Linked DNA regions of Arabidopsis thaliana. The protein of the gene in region 4 interacts with the protein of the main gene of each other region in a pairwise test. Each region holds a gene or a part of one and is shown on either strand. Other genes may lie near its edges. The genes, in order: IAA2, SPL, ARF2 and WSIP2.

Region 1 (3,901 bases), 2.8 Mb from region 4:
ACATAATGAAAAAAACATACTTGAAAACTAGTCATTGGCGTTCGGTATTTTGGTTCAGTTCCGGTTCGAGAACTTCCCATGAGCCCTTTTGTAGTCTAAAAATCTATAATCTTAAATTGTGTTTTATTAATATTATTATGTTTTTATGTAATATTAATAACCTTTACCCTAGAAAAACTAATATTATTTTCTCAGTTTTATTATATTAAATTGTGTTTTTCAATTTCATATGTTATCAGACTTATATTATTATGTAATATTTTTTTACAATTGGTTGAATTGTTTAGGTTAGATATTAATTTCTGTTTTTAATATAACAAAATTATTACATAATAATTCTTGCAGTTTAGCTAAAACATCTAATAAGCTGAAGAGACAGAGTCATTTACAATTCATCAAAAAGAAAAATTGTTTTTGAAATCTTTTGATCGACAAGGCCTATCTATAGAATTGTGGATGTGTTTTGGGAAGGCATTATAGAAAATTTGTCTCATGTGGTGGTAAATGTTTTGCTGAATAAGTAAATAATAACCTTGGTTAAACTTTAAACAAAAAAAAAAGTTAATAAATAACCTTGGCTAAACAAATGTGTATAAGTTTCTGAAATTTAAAATATTATGTTCGTGATCAAGAACAGAAAACTGATGATCTTATAGGACATAACTACTTAATACATTATACATCTATAGATTGTGTATGTGTCCGTATTATACATAAAATCTCATGTATCTTTACATCAAACTTCAAATCTAAATACAAAAACAAAAAGAACATCACTAGAGATGGATCTCTCGTCGGACAAAACCCCGAAGTTTCGTCTTTCACGGTCAACTTTAGTCAAACTCCGATCCGAATCAAACCAAAAAGGGTTTTTCATTCATCGATCATAGTCATCATCTCCTTTTTAGACAAAAGATTCTCAGCTTCTCTGGATCATAAGGAAGAGTCTAGAGCAGGAGCGTCGGATCCCTTCATGATTCTGAGTCTCTTACAAGAAGAAGAGAACATGTCCCATGGAACATCACCAACCAACATCCAGTCACCATCTTTATCTTCGTATGTTGGTACAAATCCAGATCCTTTGTATCCTTCTCTCTCACAATATTCACCAATCATGACTTTGAACATATTCTCTAACGCTTTGAGAAGCTCGGGGTAGTTTTTGTATGTCTTGAGATCGATCTTGCGAAGGTAAGGAGCTCCGTCCATACTCACTTTCACGTAGCTCACACTGTTGTTGTTCTTACGGGAAGATCTCACTGGTGGCCAACCAACGATTTGAGTTCTGTAAATTTGAGGAAAGAAAGATTAGTAAAACTATTCAAGAGCCAATAATTTGAAAGAAGCCAATTTGAAACTCAGATCTCTTCTACTTACTTGGTAGGAGGTGTAGATTCTTCTTCATCACGAGTTTCCTCAAATAGACGCTTGTTGTTACTTTTAACGCAAGAAACCTCTTGTTCTTCTTTGATCTTCTCTGTTCTTCCGGGTAATCCAAGACATAGCTCTGTGTCCTTAAGGTTAAGCTCGTTGACTTTCTCGTACGCCATTGCTTTTGGATCAATATCAATCTTTGTGTTTCCTTCTTGTGTGTTTTCTTGGGTACTTTGTTCTTCTTGTCTTGTTCTTCTTCTTCTTGTTCTTGTTCTTGGTGAGCTGGTTGATGAGTTTTGGAGAAAAGGGGAGAGAGATATATATAAAGGAGCATCGAAGTTAGGGTTAAAGGAAGAGAGAGAAGTGTTGTCGGAAGCATGAAAGGCAAGAAAGAGGCAAGGGGACAAAAGTGGGACACGAAGCTTGAGGCCGCCCATGTGGACACGACTCTTTTGTTTAATTATTCCACGCTCCTCTTTTCCCTCCGCCAACTTTGTTTACGTTAACATCTTAGCCGTCCATCTCTATTGCCTCTTCTTTTTCTTTCAAAGGATGTATAATAATTATAACGAAAGAATATAAAAATGAATGAAATGATGAGAATTCTATCGGCCGACCCGGAATAAAAGCAAACAGAGAAAATATAAATAAAGTAAAGACTAAAGAGGTGTATTATAATAACATTTATTTACTGTTTCTTAAAGGTTTCTTCTTCTCTTTTTGAAAGTGTATAGTGCAGGTTATAAAGAAAATATCAAGTGCTAATGATTGTTAATCCATTTGTTGCATAATAGATATTCTTAATATATATTTAAATATAATGTGTTGTCTTAAAATTTGATGTGAAAGTTGATTATTATTTTTAGTTTACTTCTATTGATTTATTAATTTTTAACTTAAAAGATTAATAGATGTTTTGAAAGTATGATGTAAAAATTTCGATTCAGAAGAAAAAACGTATGGTGTAAAAAATGGTTAAAAGGACACTTATGTCAAATAAAGTACTATTTTATTGAATCCTGATTCCAAAATGAAGATTATTTAGAGTTTCCAAGTACTCTTATGTGTTACGAACTATTGAATGTGCATAAGTTGAATTTTATCATTTTTGCTCGTAGATGTAATTTGATTAATAAAGAAATATTAGTTTTATGGTTAAATCTCAGATAATATCGAATATTAAACGTTACATATTTGTCTTGCGAAGACATATTTATGCGTGGCATTTTGTATATTGTGAGTTGGAAAATGTTATAACATTTTGTGTGTAGATTTTGATTTTATAATAGGAGACGAAGACCCATGTGGATAAGGGTCAAATGTGTTGGTAATTGATAGAGGAATGGTAAAGCCATGTGCTTTCTTATGTGTATGTCTCTTTTAATTATTCATTTCCCTTCAAAATGGGTTGTGGGGGAGAGAGGTTCCACGTGCTATGTATTCATTGAATCATAAAACTTAAAAGAATGAACCAAAAAGTGGTAATTAATTTCTCCCCATAGATTACGCTTAACTATGTGCATTTAGCTTCTAATCCGCATGCGATTTGATGTTAACGTTAGGCTTTATTCAATGGATTTACCAATTTTGGATATTATTTGTTTTCTCTTCTTTTAAGATAAAGATTCCTTCTATGTTCTTGCCCCTTCCATCACCAAAAGATTAGATAAGTAAAAGCGATGCAAGATACGTTGCCTCTCTTCTTATAAGTAAATAATTTAGAGGTTCTGATTGTCAGAGTTTTATGTATTATTTCCAGTTAATAACGAACTCATGCAATGTATTTTCTCACAAACTGAGAGATGCACGAATGAATACCATTTGTCTGTTAAATATTGCACGAATGAATACTAAAGGTTAACCATTTACAGATTTCTAGAATCACTTAACATGGTGGGAAACAAACTTCTTGAGAATAGTTTTTTCCTGTTTGTGTGTTCATGCATGTTTTAGTCTTAGTGAAAATGTATTATAGAAACATAACTACTAGATCTATGTGATGCTTTATGCTTATATAGATGATTGCTAAAGTTATTTGTTGGTTAAACTAAACCTTTTTACTGAAAACCATTTAAGAAAGTACAAGAGAATTCAGTTACTGTTTATTATGGAGTTAATTCCATGAATATATATTGAACATTAAGTTTTGCCTAAAAAACAATATTGAACTTAAGCCAAATACATAAATCATTTTTAGATTATTTTGGTCTCTGTGGTCAATTTAATGTATTAATTTATGTACTGAATCAACAGTTGTTTGTTCTTTTATGTTAATATTTGATATTTTTTACTCTACAAGGACTACAGATTCTGATGACAATTTTAACGTACATATCTTGAAGAGGTACGTGAATAACTATATGAACTAGCTAATAGATTCTTAATTTTTTTTGGTTAGAAATATTAACCGTGTTTTAATTATCATGGTAAAAATGTTAATTATTTTCTACTTTAATTTCTCGTTTATTCAAAAAAAAAAAGTATGTCATATATGAACAATTTTGAAATTTAAATATAGTATGTTTTA
Region 2 (3,688 bases), on a different chromosome or scaffold from region 4:
CTTCATTTATATAAAAAAAAAACGAAATCTCAACACATAGTAATGTATAATTACTTCAGTGGGGCTTCTCTTAAGACTTGTATTGAGAATATCCATATAAAACAAACTTTGTATTAAGATAATTAAAATTTTCTAATAGTAGGTATTGGGCTGAAGCCAAGATTAACATGGAGGCAGCTTTAAAATGTTTCCTTATATGATGCAGCCATCATTTCTACTCTACTCCGTAGCTCCAAACCCTTCTCGTAATTCACGTCTCTCATGCTATTCTTTTTGCTTTCGTCCTCCTCTCATGTGAAGCAATAACTATCTCTCGATTTTTTTTTTCAAATACCGAAAGCTAACTTTTTCAAATAAATGTCAAATATATTAATTTTCGTTTTGTATTTAGTATTTTATTTGTCAGCTAAGTATAGTGAGTTTTTAAGCTTACTCGTCGTATTTATCATATATTCATATACATATCACATTAGTCAAAGTAAATAAAAATTTGTTTTTGAAGAAAAAAAAAATACATATAACTGCGAGTCTGCGACTGTAACTGGACTTGCTTATTTTAGTTGATATGAGCTGAGTAAAATCACGTTGTCCCAGACCTTGCTCGCTACAATCGGCGAATGGTCTAACGTCCCGACACCTGTCCTCGATCCGCGGGTACTATATTCTTTGCAATGTGATGCACGCGCTGTTACTATTGGACAGTGTTTCTCACCTCACGACTGAGCCTATGCGAGTAGCGACAATCTCCGATTTGCTGTCTCCATGGTAGGGATTATCACAATCTCTGATTTTTTTTATCAGGAACAAGTAAATAAATAGCTTTGAGTTTTTGTTTTTTTTCTACATTCTTCGCCCAAAAGATGTAAGAAAATAAAGGATTTGAAACCTTGTTCTGTTGTTACTCCTTTAAATTCTTAAAAACTATAAATCATTATATCTTTGATCTGTTTCACAAACTAATCATATTCGTTGCAAAGTGAGAATTCGTCCCACTTTACTCTTTACACCGATACTAGTATTATAGATGTACAGCATAGTATTCCATATCTAGTTATTTAGTCAAAACTCTATATATTAAGAGGTAGGTTAATTAATTAAGGAGTAATTGAAGATTATAGAAAGAATAAAAAATACCATTTAATGGACAGAACCAAAGATAACTAACTATCATACTATAATGTTGAATTTCTTCCACGATCCAATGCATGGATAACAACATCAATCAAATCATACATTCATGCTATATAACATAGTTTTCAGTTACAAACTCTCTTTTTTATTTATTTCAGTTGTTCCTTTTCATGACCATATTAACATCAAATAATGCATTTTTTTCAACGTCTCTTGACTTACACCCACTAATATTGACAAATTGAACATCTATACGACTATACACACATAAGTTAAAAATGCATGCAAGTGCTAAGGGAATTTATAACATCTAAGGTTAATAAGACTAAGAAAGTATAAAATAAGAATACGTATTATGAATTTATGATATACTTTACTAATCTTTTTGAAAAATACTTTAATTTAATCTACTATAGGGGGTAAAAAGTAAAAAAGAAATAAAGATACGTTTATCCGCATATAGTACCTGGAAATAACAGAAAATAAAAACACAGGTAAGTACTTTGCCTGAGCTAGTATATGAACACTAAAGAGATACACACACACAAAAAGAGAGCAGAAACAAAACACACACACTTAAAGCTTTCGTCTTTACCTCTTCCCTTCTCTCTCTCTATCTAAAAAGAGTTCCGAGAAGAAGATCATCATCAATGGCGACTTCTCTCTTCTTCATGTCAACAGATCAAAACTCCGTCGGAAACCCAAACGATCTTCTGAGAAACACCCGTCTTGTCGTCAACAGCTCCGGCGAGATCCGGACAGAGACACTGAAGAGTCGTGGTCGGAAACCAGGATCGAAGACAGGTCAGCAAAAACAGAAGAAACCAACGTTGAGAGGAATGGGTGTAGCAAAGCTCGAGCGTCAGAGAATCGAAGAAGAAAAGAAGCAACTCGCCGCCGCCACAGTCGGAGACACGTCATCAGTAGCATCGATCTCTAACAACGCTACCCGTTTACCCGTACCGGTAGACCCGGGTGTTGTGCTACAAGGCTTCCCAAGCTCACTCGGGAGCAACAGGATCTATTGTGGTGGAGTCGGGTCGGGTCAGGTTATGATCGACCCGGTTATTTCTCCATGGGGTTTTGTTGAGACCTCCTCCACTACTCATGAGCTCTCTTCAATCTCAAATCCTCAAATGTTTAACGCTTCTTCCAATAATCGCTGTGACACTTGCTTCAAGGTTTGTTTGTTTTTTAATCGTTTTCATCAACATGATTGATATATATATAGTTTTTGCACTTGAAAAAGTTTTGATTTTTATTTATGTAAAAAACTGCAGAAGAAACGTTTGGATGGTGATCAGAATAATGTAGTTCGATCCAACGGTGGTGGATTTTCGAAATACACAATGATTCCTCCTCCGATGAACGGCTACGATCAGTATCTTCTTCAATCAGATCATCATCAGAGGAGCCAAGGTTTCCTTTATGATCATAGAATCGCTAGAGCAGCTTCAGTTTCTGCTTCTAGTACTACTATTAATCCTTATTTCAACGAGGCAACAAATCATACGGTACTAAGTATAGTCCATTTATTAATACTCATATATAGGTATATATGTATATAACTGTTGATCTTATTTGATTTAACTGGTGGGTTTAGGGACCAATGGAGGAATTTGGGAGCTACATGGAAGGAAACCCTAGAAATGGATCAGGAGGTGTGAAGGAGTACGAGTTTTTTCCGGGGAAATATGGTGAAAGAGTTTCAGTGGTGGCTAAAACGTCGTCACTCGTAGGTGATTGCAGTCCTAATACCATTGATTTGTCCTTGAAGCTTTAAATGTTTTATCTTTCTATATTGATTTAAACAAAATCGTCTCTTTAAAGAAAAAACATTTTAAGTAGATGAAAGTAAGAAACAGAAGAAAAAAAAGAGAGAGCCTTTTTTGGTGTATGCATCTGAGAGCTGAGTCGAAAGAAAGATTCAGCTTTTGGATTACCCTTTTGGTTGTTTATTATGAGATTCTAACCTAAACACTCAGACATATATGTTCTGTTCTCTTCCTTAATTGTTGTCATGAAACTTCTCTCTCCCTCTCTCTCTCTAAAGTTGTGTCAGATCTTGGGGCTTGTATCCATTTTGTGTTTCTTTAGTTAGGCAATGATCCTGTCATGATTCATGTTATCACCTAATTAATCCTCGGTTTTCGAAACGGTGTCATGCATATCTGATTAATCTTGTTATCTGGTGTGAGATAAATGTATCAAATTGCTCTTGTTTATAGCTTTTCCAATTAATGTCATTGCATAGCATATGGGATGTACAGCTTCGTTTTCGATTTATAAAATTTATACATGTGTTTGGTACGTACTGTTTTGTTTTGGATCAGAATTATAAATTTAGTACAGTATAAACTACTTTAAAAATTGGCCAATGAGAATTTTGAGTTTATCTTCTTTTTATAAGTTGATTGATTTTGCTTTGTTTATTTATAGAAAATATGAAATTTTATCAATTATTTTTGGGATGCTTTTTTATTGATTTTAGTTCGGCTAAAATTAGTTAGATGTTTAAATTTATTAAAACAGATATGCAAAAATTAACTCGATGGTT
Region 3 (7,647 bases), on a different chromosome or scaffold from region 4:
ATGGTTTTTCTTTTTAACGGACAAAGATTCCTACAATGGTTGCTTTTAGACCACACACAAATGCTACACAGTACTCTTGGGTCCCACACCTCTTAGCAAGTGCGTTACCAACACGTGAATTTCCTCTCCCCATTTTCTCGTCCTTTTCCTCTCAATATTGTATCGTCTCGTTTTCCTTGTCATATCGCGTGTGACGTGTTATTGGCTTATTGCTGAACAGTCTTCTTTTTTATTTTCCATCGTTATCCTGATTTTTTTTTTTTTCCAAATTTGATTTTCATGGTTTGTAATTTTGCAATAGATTTTGTGTTTCACAGAGAGATAGTTTACGTGTTGTTAAAAATAATTTGTGCAAAATAGTGTGCGTGTGTTAAATATTAAACGATATATAATAATTAGAAGAAAATAAAAAGTTTTGTCGCGATTAGTTATTTGATATTTACCTTGTTCTTTTGTTTATCGCTGCGACAAGCACCGACGGTATAAAATATAAAGAAAAAAAGAAAGAGAGATGAAGGTGAGATGAATGAAAGAGTCGCAGCGACAGATCTGAAGAGATAGGAGAAAGGGAATTTGAGACGCTGAAAATTCCAGCGTCTACGGAATGGCCGAATTACAGTCGATGCGGCAGAGATGAAAAAAATGAGAAATGAAAGTGAAAAAGAGATGAGAACTTTTTTTGGGTCGCAGGTAGCTGACGCAGCAATCAACAAAAGAACATGGCCAACGTTTTAGTAGATACTACTATAAAAGAAAAAGGTTGATTTAATTCATTCGTAATTTGGACTTAATTTTTTTTTAGGAACACTAATTAATCTTATTTGCCAGCTGTATGAGTGGACTACAATAAACTCTTGTCTATAAACCAGATTTTCTTCCTTTTTAACGCTTCCACTTACAACAATATATGTAAATATGTAATTATGACGGGGCATACGGAAATTTAATTTTTGAAGCAGATTCATCCCATTAGCCAGCTGTATTAAGTGGTAATCCAAGAGTTAATTTAGTTGTTCAGCAAATGATTTTAGATAAAATCAACTACTAGTTTAAAATAACTATCGAATGACTGTTAAGGCTTCGTATTTTTTGTTCTGCCATCAGGATATCATAAATATGGTTGAGGTTCGTATAATATTCGACGATCTTTTATATATCTGAGTTGTAATTGAATTAGAGAAAATAAAAAACAGATAATGAAACGTCTTTGTTTTTCCATAAAAAGAAAAACAGGGTAAATTAAAGTACGAGAGATTCACGAGACGAAAATTCCTAGAGGCGCACGATAGCCAAAAGACCATAGAAAATGACATCCGAAATATCTTTAAAATGCTAAAATGCACATATTTTTCTGGTGCCACGTAGCATTTTTCTCCCTCTCTCGTTCTCTCTACGTCCACCCAGACCTGCCTGTTCACAGCACGACAAAGCCACTTCCCAATAAAAACACAACACCTTTCCCATTGACGCTCTCTTTCCCAAACACCGTTATCCTCTTTACCCAATCAAAAGTTGACGCTTGCTCACGACTTGTTGACGCCGTTAGTCCCATCTAAAAAAGTAAAGCAGCCTTTCTTACTTGCTAATCCCCTCTACACATTTAATTTATTTTCTCCCCTAATGGATTTTTTTTGGCAACTTGAGTATTTATTTTTCAACTCACAGTAACTGTAAATAAATAAAAGTATTCAACTCACAGTCACCAGTAAATAAATACTACCAGACCATAGTTTTTTCAAGAATTGTTTTGGTCAACAATTTTAGGATGACTTAAATTGCTATATTTCTGGGGAAATACGACTTGGAAATGTCTGCAATTTGGGTCTTTTCTTCAATTTATCTTCTCCAATTTGTTTTTTAAAAAATTAAATTTTAGAAAAGGATATGTCAATTTTTTCTATTGAAAAGGCTTTATTAAAAAATAAGAAAAAGTGGAGGAAAGAAAATAAAATCGTCACTTGTCTTTGGTTTTGTGAGGTCGCAGACCCTGGTCCCCCGGAAATGGTTACAACCGGTAATAGCCGGTATGAAAGAGGGAATGGTAACCGGTGAATGCCGGTTATCCATATGGGTTAGAAGTTTACCGCGGTTGAAATGATTGAAGCTGAGTTTTGACTACCTCTGGTTAAGCCCATTGGTCGCCTCATACCCAGAAAAACAAAAGGATAGGAAAGACGAAGAAATAAAAAGAGAGAGAATGTTAGAGAGACAAACTCTGAGAGACAAAACAAGAGAAAATCGCTCGTCGTCGGTATTCAAGCGTCTGTGACTCCGATAAAGCCTAGACTAGCGAGGACGGCGAGAGAGAGAGAGAGAGAGCTTTGGAGTTGTCGTATCTCTAAATCGGAGGCAATTTGAGGTGAAATTGGTGGTTTTATCGTTTGATTCTAGGGTTTATCTTCTCTGATAGTTTTATCGAGTAATGTCAAGGAGCTAAACTAGTGGTGATTGTGTTTGTTAGTGAGATAAAGACAAAGGAAGGAATCAAGTGGACTACCGAAGCGAGTTTTGAGCTTTTTCAGAGACGGATTTGGAGATTTCTTGTTGATATCGTCTGCTTAGAGGCTTATTTGGTACCAGATGAAACAGATCTGAGCTTCGGAAGGTATGGCGAGTTCGGAGGTTTCAATGAAAGGTAATCGTGGAGGAGATAACTTCTCCTCCTCTGGTTTTAGTGACCCTAAGGAGACTAGAAATGTCTCCGTCGCCGGCGAGGGGCAAAAAAGTAATTCTACCCGATCCGCTGCGGCTGAGCGTGCTTGTAAGTCTCCGTTTCTTAGGGTTTCTTAAGCTTGGTTTTGGTTACAGACTGACTTGATCTAATTTATCTTCTTCTTCTTCGTCTTCATAGTGGACCCTGAGGCTGCTCTTTACAGAGAGCTATGGCACGCTTGTGCTGGTCCGCTTGTGACGGTTCCTAGACAAGACGACCGAGTCTTCTATTTTCCTCAAGGACACATCGAGCAGGTGAGATATTTCATCTATGAGTTCTTGCTATTTTTGGCTAAATCTTTGAGTTAACCCCTCTGTGATTCGTACCTGTTGAGATATTTTCTAATGAACTTTGTCGGTTTCCATTGTTTTATGATTAGGTGGAGGCTTCGACGAACCAGGCGGCAGAACAACAGATGCCTCTCTATGATCTTCCGTCAAAGCTTCTCTGTCGAGTTATTAATGTAGATTTAAAGGTAGGTTTCTTTAACTTCTTGGAAAATTTTGGTTTCTGTGTCTTGGATTGTCAGCTAACAAGAGTTTTGTTTATGATTTTACAGGCAGAGGCAGATACAGATGAAGTTTATGCGCAGATTACTCTTCTTCCTGAGGCTAATGTAAGTTTTGTTTTCTGATTTATTGGTTTGAGTGTTGTAGAGGTGATCTTATTCTTCAAGATGCTGAATTCTATATATTTTTTGTTCCATACAGCAAGACGAGAATGCAATTGAGAAAGAAGCGCCTCTTCCTCCACCTCCGAGGTTCCAGGTGCATTCGTTCTGCAAAACCTTGACTGCATCCGACACAAGTACACATGGTGGATTTTCTGTTCTTAGGCGACATGCGGATGAATGTCTCCCACCTCTGGTTGGTGTTTCATTTGCGCTTCTAACTATCTATTCATTGGCTTATTTTTCCTGAATTTTGTTCTAAGATTGCCTTCAATTCATTTTTTGTTTCTTCCCTCAGGATATGTCTCGACAGCCTCCCACTCAAGAGTTAGTTGCAAAGGATTTGCATGCAAATGAGTGGCGATTCAGACATATATTCCGGGGTATAGGAATCTGTAACTTTTTTATTTTCTGTTTTTCTCGAGTCTGTGTGTCATCAAACTTATCTGGTTGTTGATGTTTGTGATAATGGACCAGGTCAACCACGGAGGCATTTGCTACAGAGTGGGTGGAGTGTGTTTGTTAGCTCCAAAAGGCTAGTTGCAGGCGATGCGTTTATATTTCTAAGGTTTGTGGATTTTAGTTCATTGTTTTCTTTAGCTGTATCTGTTAGTTTCTATAATGTGGAATATCTTAATCTTCTACAGGGGCGAGAATGGAGAATTAAGAGTTGGTGTAAGGCGTGCGATGCGACAACAAGGAAACGTGCCGTCTTCTGTTATATCTAGCCATAGCATGCATCTTGGAGTACTGGCCACCGCATGGCATGCCATTTCAACAGGGACTATGTTTACAGTCTACTACAAACCCAGGTTTGTATTTGTATTAGCTCACAAAACAGCTTTCAGTTTTTTGAGCTCTTTGCTTTGTATGTCTCTATATGTCTGATGCTTGGTAGTGAATCACTCTACTAAATTTTCATGCGGTGTTGTTTTGTTTAATACAGGACGAGCCCATCTGAGTTTATTGTTCCGTTCGATCAGTATATGGAGTCTGTTAAGAATAACTACTCTATTGGCATGAGATTCAAAATGAGATTTGAAGGCGAAGAGGCTCCTGAGCAGAGGTAAAACCTGTCTTCTGCTTTTGAAATATGTTAGCTCTTGAGCCTTTTTCTCTTGGAATAACGAACCTAACAAGTTGTATTGATTTATATTAGGTTTACTGGCACAATCGTTGGGATTGAAGAGTCTGATCCTACTAGGTGGCCAAAATCAAAGTGGAGATCCCTCAAGGTATGACCTAGTTTCTAGAGAGGATCAAGACTATTGTTTGAATATAATGAATGCTGATTGTTCAATTGTCTTTCAGGTGAGATGGGATGAGACTTCTAGTATTCCTCGACCTGATAGAGTATCTCCGTGGAAAGTAGAGCCAGCTCTTGCTCCTCCTGCTTTGAGTCCTGTTCCAATGCCTAGGCCTAAGAGGCCCAGATCAAATATAGCACCTTCATCTCCTGACTCTTCGATGCTTACCAGAGAAGGTAATGTCTTCCCCTTCCACTGTAGTACACATAGTAGTGCGTCTGAAACTTAATTGAACTTGTCAGTGGGAGTCTAATTCATTGTACACAAAACAGGTACAACTAAGGCAAACATGGACCCTTTACCAGCAAGCGGACTTTCAAGGGTCTTGCAAGGTCAAGAATACTCGACCTTGAGGACGAAACATACTGAGAGTGTAGAGTGTGATGCTCCTGAGAATTCTGTTGTCTGGCAATCTTCAGCGGATGATGATAAGGTTGACGTGGTTTCGGGTTCTAGAAGATATGGATCTGAGAACTGGATGTCCTCAGCCAGGCATGAACCTACTTACACAGATTTGCTCTCCGGCTTTGGGACTAACATAGATCCATCCCATGGTCAGCGGATACCTTTTTATGACCATTCATCATCACCTTCTATGCCTGCAAAGAGAATCTTGAGTGATTCAGAAGGCAAGTTCGATTATCTTGCTAACCAGTGGCAGATGATACACTCTGGTCTCTCCCTGAAGTTACATGAATCTCCTAAGGTACCTGCAGCAACTGATGCGTCTCTCCAAGGGCGATGCAATGTTAAATACAGCGAATATCCTGTTCTTAATGGTCTATCGACTGAGAATGCTGGTGGTAACTGGCCAATACGTCCACGTGCTTTGAATTATTATGAGGAAGTGGTCAATGCTCAAGCGCAAGCTCAGGCTAGGGAGCAAGTAACAAAACAACCCTTCACGATACAAGAGGAGACAGCAAAGTCAAGAGAAGGGAACTGCAGGCTCTTTGGCATTCCTCTGACCAACAACATGAATGGGACAGACTCAACCATGTCTCAGAGAAACAACTTGAATGATGCTGCGGGGCTTACACAGATAGCATCACCAAAGGTTCAGGACCTTTCAGATCAGTCAAAAGGGTCAAAATCAACAAACGATCATCGTGAACAGGGAAGACCATTCCAGACTAATAATCCTCATCCGAAGGATGCTCAAACGAAAACCAACTCAAGTAGGAGTTGCACAAAGGTAAATTTTTGCAATATGTAGCACAAAGTGTATGAGGTTGTGATAACCCTTGAATCACTTTTCAACTAACACATGACACATTGATGTAAAGGTTCACAAGCAGGGAATTGCACTTGGCCGTTCAGTGGATCTTTCAAAGTTCCAAAACTATGAGGAGTTAGTCGCTGAGCTGGACAGGCTGTTTGAGTTCAATGGAGAGTTGATGGCTCCTAAGAAAGATTGGTTGATAGTTTACACAGATGAAGAGAATGATATGATGCTTGTTGGTGACGATCCTTGGCAGTAAGATTTTGCAAATTTTCCATCTTAGTTTATATCGATGTTAGTGTTTTTCTTATAACACTGACACAATGATCTCTCTTGCAGGGAGTTTTGTTGCATGGTTCGCAAAATCTTCATATACACGAAAGAGGAAGTGAGGAAGATGAACCCGGGGACTTTAAGCTGTAGGAGCGAGGAAGAAGCAGTTGTTGGGGAAGGATCAGATGCAAAGGACGCCAAGTCTGCATCAAATCCTTCATTGTCCAGCGCTGGGAACTCTTAAACAAACAAAATAACCAACAACCCTTTTGCTGCAAGCCGAGGTATGTAAAAGCTTTTGAGATATTAGTAGACTAGAGACACAGCCAAAAGTTTATGTCATTACATTCGACTGATGTTTGTTCTGTTAATGACAGCAGGATGGGGGTCGATTGGTGGAGACTGGAGAGCAAAATGGGATGATGGGTTTAAGATAAGATATTAAAAATGCAATTTTTGAAGTATTTTGTTGGCCACTTAGATAATTAGCATCTTCCATCACCCTTATTATCTATCTAATAATAATTAATAGATATTATAAAGTAAAACATAAAAAGGTTACAGGTATTATATAGTAGAATATGAAAAGCTCTTTTATAAGTAGAATATGATGGTGTGGAGTTGTAGTCGGAGGCTGGTATCGGTTCTTTTTATGGATGTATTTTTTTCCTTCTTCCAAAGATCTCTTGAAGTCTTTTTATTGTTTATATTAATCCCAATGTACATAAGTTTTCAAGCTCTTGCCCTTTTTTAATTATCTTGTCGATTCACATTTTCTCAACTTATTCTCTTGCTGACTTTTGGTTTTGGTCTGGTCTTGTCGGTATTTTGCAGCTTTTCGTATTAGACGGTGATATAGATATATTCACGAAACTGTAAGACCTCTTAACAAACGGATTCCATTTCGAATCCTTACATTAAATAAATTCGGATGTTTCTAGCTACAATCTGAAAATTAAGCTTGCAATGAGCAAAACAGTGAGCCCTCTTTTTAAAGTACTTTGAAAAAAAAACTGGATGCTAAAATTTGTTGTTTCCCTTGTAACAATGAGGAAAACAAGGTTTGGGTTTTCAAGTTTATTTCTCTAGCTATGCTCATGTCCATATAAACGAATCCGCTGAAAAACAGAAAGATGACACCATGGCAAACACATGATCAAAGTTTCGTGATCTATGGTTTCATTCTATCATATGGCTCTTCATAACCAAACTTGTATTTAGGTAGAACTCTATCTAAATCAAGACTTTAAACCATATGAAACACACAACACCGGCAACTCTGGCATACTACCGCCTTAAGCCGACAATCTCAATCGTCACAGAAACACAACAAACATTTTATCAAACTTGCTGAGTTTATGGAAAAACTTTCAATTGTATCAGTTTATGCCATTATCTTACAACAATACAAAACTGCATAGTTAAATAAGTGGTTCTCTAGCTCCTTGTAATTCTACCATCG
Region 4 (5,044 bases):
TGAGTAGCTCTAATTTCGTCTCGATGTGAGATTGATAAACAGAGAGAGAGAGAGACAGAAGTACAAGTAGACTATTTATTTTGTTCTTTTTTATTATTTTTGCACACTTTTTTTTTTTTTTGCTCGCATAAAATAAACAAATTTTAAAAATATATATATAGTATTAAAAAAGAAGCTGATATGGAAAAGTCATAAACAATAAATAAAACTTTAACCAAAAGAAGAATAAAATTTTTGAACGTTAGTATCCGTTGTATAAAAGTGTATATATTAAGTTCCAACTGTATTTTTTTCTCATATCTATTTATTTATTTTTCCTTTTTATTATATGTGTCGTTTTAAAGTTTTTGTTTTACTCTTCTGTAATGTATTATACAGAAATAACATAATTATAAATAAGCTGGATTTTACCAATTATTTAATATAAAACGGAAAGGGTATGTTGTTGAAGATACTTGATGTTTTAAAATTTGAAGTTGTTGTAGTCATTGTTAAGGGTCGGCTGATGAGTCAGGACAACTCATTGAAACCATTTATTCGATGTTTCAAATATTAAACAAATAGACAGAAGATTCTACTATCTTCTTCAAAAATATAATATTAAACACAAGTCTTTGTTTCTTTGCTAGCTCTAGTTACAGAAATTTTGAATTAAAGCTATGAAAATAACTTTACGTTTAGTAAATTGCTAAAATATTCAGAGCGATCAGAAAGGAATGTTTGCTCTCTCATCTTAAAATTATATATTTGAGGTGATGCTTCTTCACCAACATGGGCAGATGGGCTTATGGAACCATTTGCTGATTAATTGCAGTCATTGATAACTGTCTGGGTGTGTCATTGTCATCAAAGTGATTGTTCAAGGAAAACATGTTTGGGACGAAATTGATTCCCAATCATGTTTAGCAATTGGGCCAGTCAATTCCCCCGATAATCTAGACCTAAAAGCCCAAACCAATGTAAGCAATACTGGTGTAGGAATACTTGTAAGAAGATTTGATATGACTCCTACTAGAACCATAATGTGGATGGACTGTTGAAGTAGCATAGTAATTACTAGCCAAAACATCCATGGGAAAAAAAATAAAGTACAAATATAAATTTTGATTTTTTTTTTTTTTATAAATAGAACAAAACTAAACATGTGAATAGGCCATATCTCTTAAATTCCTAACAAATTAGCATAATATATTCACGGAAATGCGTTACAAACCGTATTATAGAATAAAACTCCACTTTTTACTGTGAATTACTATAACAAAAAAGAAAGAATACACATTTGTAAAATTCACTTATTTGTTACCACATAAGATTTATATTTTTCCAAAAGTAAATTATCCATAAAACCTTTAATTTGTTTTTTTGACAATAAAAGATGAAGAAAATAAAATTTAATTAATTTGCGTACTACATAACTGGAAATAAAAATATCACATCTGATTTACTGCTATTCTTCTCTAAATTAAAAACTTCAAAATCCATTACTTAAATAATTAATTCATAAAAAAAATATTTGCAATATTAATTGACGGTTAGTTGATGTCATAAAAATAATATAATGGCACTAAATTCTATACAGAAACAGAAATAAACCAATTATGAGATACTCTACTTTAATGTATAGTTTGAAAAACAAAAAAAAATCCCCAGCTACGTTCAAAACCTAACGAGAGAGCATTAAATTAGACAGCAGTGTTGTACTAGATTCGCAACAACATCAATACGTCACTTAAATTAAAATAAAATACGAAAACATTAAATTAAAATAAATTTTAGAAAAAGTAATTAAAACGAAGGTTACTTATTATAGTGGGGAGATTAAGCTTTTTGAGTAAATTCCTATCTACAAAATACACGCTTCTATTAAAAAAAATAGAAGCCCAACGACCACACAAAAACAAATTAATTAAATCATAAAAACTCATAAATTAAAATAAAAAGCAATAAATCCAAAAAAAAAAAAAGGAAACTCCGAAAACGAGACAGCATCAGAAATTATCGCCATAAATAGCCCCCACGTCTCTCTCTCTCTCTTCTCCAAAGTCTTCTTCTTCTTCTTCTTCTTCTTCCTCTTCTTCCTCTCTGCTTTGTCTCTCTCCTTCTTCAAAGTCAAAATTCAACAGGTATTTATATTTATAAACTTTCCTTTTTTTCTTTAATCTCTTTCTCGGGAGCCTCTCTCGTATATTCTCGCACGTGCACATCTCGTGCCACCTGGGTTTGGGGGGATTCGTCTTTCGAATTCGATCGATTTCGTTTTTTTTTTTAGATCTGTCTTTCCTTTTTTGGGGTGTGAAGAAGATGTTTTCTTTTATAAAACCCTAATTCTCTCTTTGTGTCTTTGTGTTTGATTAGTGGTTCATGAGTGGTATTGTGATCGATCTGTTACTTTCGGAGAGCGAGCAATAAGAAGAGGATATGTCGTCACTCAGCAGAGAACTCGTGTTTTTAATACTTCAGTTTCTCGATGAAGAGAAATTCAAAGATACTGTTCACAGGTAATTTATATTATATCATTGTTTAATTGCGGTCCCTCTTCCTTTGATTGTCGGGATTAGAGTAAAGTAGGGATTAAGATTAATTAATTTTGATTTTGTAATTTAGCATTATTTCTTCAATGTTAATCCAGAAGCAGTTACAACTTTGGATATTTTTTTTGACTAATTAGGTTGGAGAAAGAGTCTGGTTTTTTCTTCAACATGAGGTACTTTGAAGATAGTGTAACAGCTGGTGAATGGGATGATGTAGAGAAGTATCTTTCTGGATTCACTAAAGTTGATGATAATAGATACTCTATGAAAATATTTTTCGAGATTCGGAAGCAGAAGTACCTTGAAGCACTTGACAAGTAAAGTTTCACTTGTGTTGTTTAGTTTTATTGAATTGAAGTGTGGTTTTGAGTATTGATTTGTTTTCCCATCTTTTGTTTTACCATAGGAAAGATCATGCCAAGGCGGTTGATATTCTTGTTAAGGAGTTGAAAGTGTTCTCGACATTCAACGAAGAGCTTTTTAAGGAGATTACCATGCTTTTAACCTTGACTAACTTCAGGTACATTCTTTACTTTCTTAGCACTTTTTTTTTATGGTTTCATTGACCACTGGATTGTTATAAACCATGCGCTTGTGGTGTTGATGTTTCATTTACTTGCAATAATTCAAGGGAAAATGAGCAGCTTTCCAAGTATGGAGATACTAAGTCCGCAAGAGGTATCATGCTTGGGGAACTTAAAAAACTGATTGAAGCAAATCCTCTCTTCCGAGACAAACTTCAATTTCCCAGTTTGAAGAATTCTAGATTGAGAACCTTAATAAATCAAAGGTACAAGCTTTGTTTTTTTAACTTTTGCTCCCGTTTTTCTTTTGGTGGAACAACTAACTGAACGTTGCTTCTGCTGAATCATAGTTTGAACTGGCAACATCAGCTTTGCAAGAATCCTAGGCCTAACCCGGATATAAAAACACTATTTGTTGACCATACGTGTGGGCATCCCAATGGTGCACACACTCCTTCCCCTACAACTAATCATTTAATGGGTTCAGTCCCTAAAGTTGGAGGCTTCCCACCATTAGGTGCTCACGGTGTAAGTTGCTCTAAGATTACAGCTTCTGTTGGATTAGTTTTTAGCACATGAATTTAACTTTGCTAGTTTGTATGCTCTTGTTCAGCCATTTCAGCCAACACCAGCTCCTCTTACAACATCTCTTGCAGGATGGATGCCTAATCCATCGGTACAACACCCTACTGTTTCCGCTGGGCCTATCGGCTTAGGTGCCCCCAACAGTGCTGGTAATGTTGTCCCTACTAATTTTATTCTTCTGAAATATGTGTGTTGGAGATTTAGTTTACCAAATATTAGCTTATACGGTTATGTAATTTGCCATCCCTTGTTTAGATCATCATTAGTTGGATGGTTATCTGTGCTTCTTTGACTGACTGAACTGCATGAAATGATATAAATATATTTACTGAGTTACATTTTCCAGAGCTGTAGTGGTAAACTGTCTCTCTTTTCTTTTACGGACTAAAGCAGTTTTTAGTGGTAAACTGTCTCTATGGTGGATTAGAGAGAGAGAGAGAACTATATGCTCATATCAGCCGTTTTGTTTAATTTCACAATACTCTTGTTTATAGATAATAGATAGAGAAGCAAACATTTAATTTAATGTCAGATAGCCTTGAAGTGCTGTCTTAGGTCTGAAACTTTTATTTATTTCATTTTTTGTAGTCCATAACGTGGAGATCAGTTTGTGTGTGTTTACCAATTGCATAGCTTACCATAATCTATTTATTCTTCTTTTTTTCCTTGCAGTGTCTATGTTAAAGCGTGAGCGTCCCAGGAGTCCTCCAACTAATAGCCTATCAATGGATTATCAGACGGCAGATTCTGAAAGTGTGTTGAAGAGACCCAGACCTTTTGGTATTTCAGATGGGGTATTAACGGCTGCTTGTTCGTTTTTCAGCTTAAGTTCTCAACTTTTCTTAGAAGTCACAACTTTCTTTGAACATTTTACAGGTTAATAATCTTCCAGTCAATGTCTTGCCAGTCACATATCCAGGGCAAAGCCATGCTCATGCAACTTATTCTACTGATGACTTGCCCAAAAACGTTAGCAGGATTTTGAGTCAGGGTTCTGCCATTAAGAGCATGGATTTTCATCCAGTACAGCAAACTATGCTCCTTGGTTGGTTTTCTCCTCTGAAGCACGCATCATTCTTCTGTTTTATTCTGGTTTATGCCAGAGAAACCTGCAAAACTTGTATCAGACAGCATAACTTTCATCTTCTCAGTACAATCTGCTTACTTTATCTTGGATTTACATTTGTTTCCTAGTTGGCACCAATCTTGGTGATATTGCAATATGGGAGGTGGGTAGCAGGGAGAAGCTCGTTTCTAGAAGCTTTAAAGTTTGGGATCTTGCTACTTGCACTGTGAACCTTCAGGTATAGTTCCTCTTTATTGATCTACTGTAACAGTCGAATGAGGTGGGAGATTTGTTGTTAGTTAGTTAAAACTATACAGAGGATTTTCTTCTCTTTTTAG

The links.
Region 1: the proteins of WSIP2 (region 4) and IAA2 interact in a two-hybrid assay, tested with the Arabidopsis thaliana proteins (one study listed by BioGRID).
Region 2: the proteins of WSIP2 (region 4) and SPL interact in a two-hybrid assay, tested with the Arabidopsis thaliana proteins (2 studies listed by BioGRID).
Region 3: the proteins of WSIP2 (region 4) and ARF2 interact in a two-hybrid assay, tested with the Arabidopsis thaliana proteins (one study listed by BioGRID).

The regions. Positions count from the first base shown.
Region 1 is NC_003074.8:8,180,136-8,184,036, forward strand, and holds IAA2 (indole-3-acetic acid inducible 2), read right to left. Parts: upstream 1,961-3,901; 5' UTR 1,812-1,960; coding exon 1,378-1,811; intron 1,286-1,377; coding exon 934-1,285; 3' UTR 511-933; downstream 1-510. UniProt on the Arabidopsis thaliana protein: Aux/IAA proteins are short-lived transcriptional factors that function as repressors of early auxin response genes at low auxin concentrations.
Region 2 is NC_003075.7:13,681,553-13,685,240, reverse strand, and holds SPL (sporocyteless (SPL)), read left to right. Parts: upstream 1-1,646; 5' UTR 1,647-1,781; coding exon 1,782-2,312; intron 2,313-2,411; coding exon 2,412-2,645; intron 2,646-2,734; coding exon 2,735-2,914; 3' UTR 2,915-3,163; downstream 3,164-3,688. UniProt on the Arabidopsis thaliana protein: Transcriptional regulator of sporocyte development. Acts as an adapter-like transcriptional repressor recruiting TPL/TPR corepressors to inhibit TCP transcription factors. Required for nucellus and embryo sac development.
Region 3 is NC_003076.8:24,908,252-24,915,898, forward strand, and holds ARF2 (auxin response factor 2), read left to right. Parts: upstream 1-1,939; 5' UTR 1,940-2,359; exon of another isoform or gene 2,360-2,461; 5' UTR 2,462-2,607; coding exon 2,608-2,761; intron 2,762-2,851; coding exon 2,852-2,967; intron 2,968-3,092; coding exon 3,093-3,188; intron 3,189-3,272; coding exon 3,273-3,329; intron 3,330-3,423; coding exon 3,424-3,579; intron 3,580-3,681; coding exon 3,682-3,766; intron 3,767-3,860; coding exon 3,861-3,951; intron 3,952-4,030; coding exon 4,031-4,195; intron 4,196-4,329; coding exon 4,330-4,449; intron 4,450-4,542; coding exon 4,543-4,618; intron 4,619-4,694; coding exon 4,695-4,866; intron 4,867-4,962; coding exon 4,963-5,885; intron 5,886-5,976; coding exon 5,977-6,167; intron 6,168-6,251; coding exon 6,252-6,429; 3' UTR 6,430-6,469; intron 6,470-6,562; exon of another isoform or gene 6,563-6,565; coding exon of another isoform or gene 6,566-6,622; 3' UTR 6,623-7,144; downstream 7,145-7,647. Other genes in the region: AT5G61997 (uncharacterized protein), read right to left, coding at 14-133. UniProt on the Arabidopsis thaliana protein: Auxin response factors (ARFs) are transcriptional factors that bind specifically to the DNA sequence 5'-TGTCTC-3' found in the auxin-responsive promoter elements (AuxREs). Could act as transcriptional activator or repressor.
Region 4 is NC_003074.8:5,369,244-5,374,287, reverse strand, and holds the start of WSIP2 (WUS-interacting protein 2), read left to right. Parts: upstream 1-1,998; 5' UTR 1,999-2,123; exon of another isoform or gene 2,124-2,355; 5' UTR 2,356-2,418; coding exon 2,419-2,498; intron 2,499-2,668; coding exon 2,669-2,848; intron 2,849-2,937; coding exon 2,938-3,051; intron 3,052-3,162; coding exon 3,163-3,321; intron 3,322-3,405; coding exon 3,406-3,583; intron 3,584-3,668; coding exon 3,669-3,789; intron 3,790-4,312; coding exon 4,313-4,434; intron 4,435-4,516; coding exon 4,517-4,685; intron 4,686-4,834; coding exon 4,835-4,944; intron 4,945-5,044. UniProt on the Arabidopsis thaliana protein: Transcription corepressor of Zinc finger transcription factors GAF1/IDD2 and ENY/IDD1 in regulation of gibberellin homeostasis and signaling.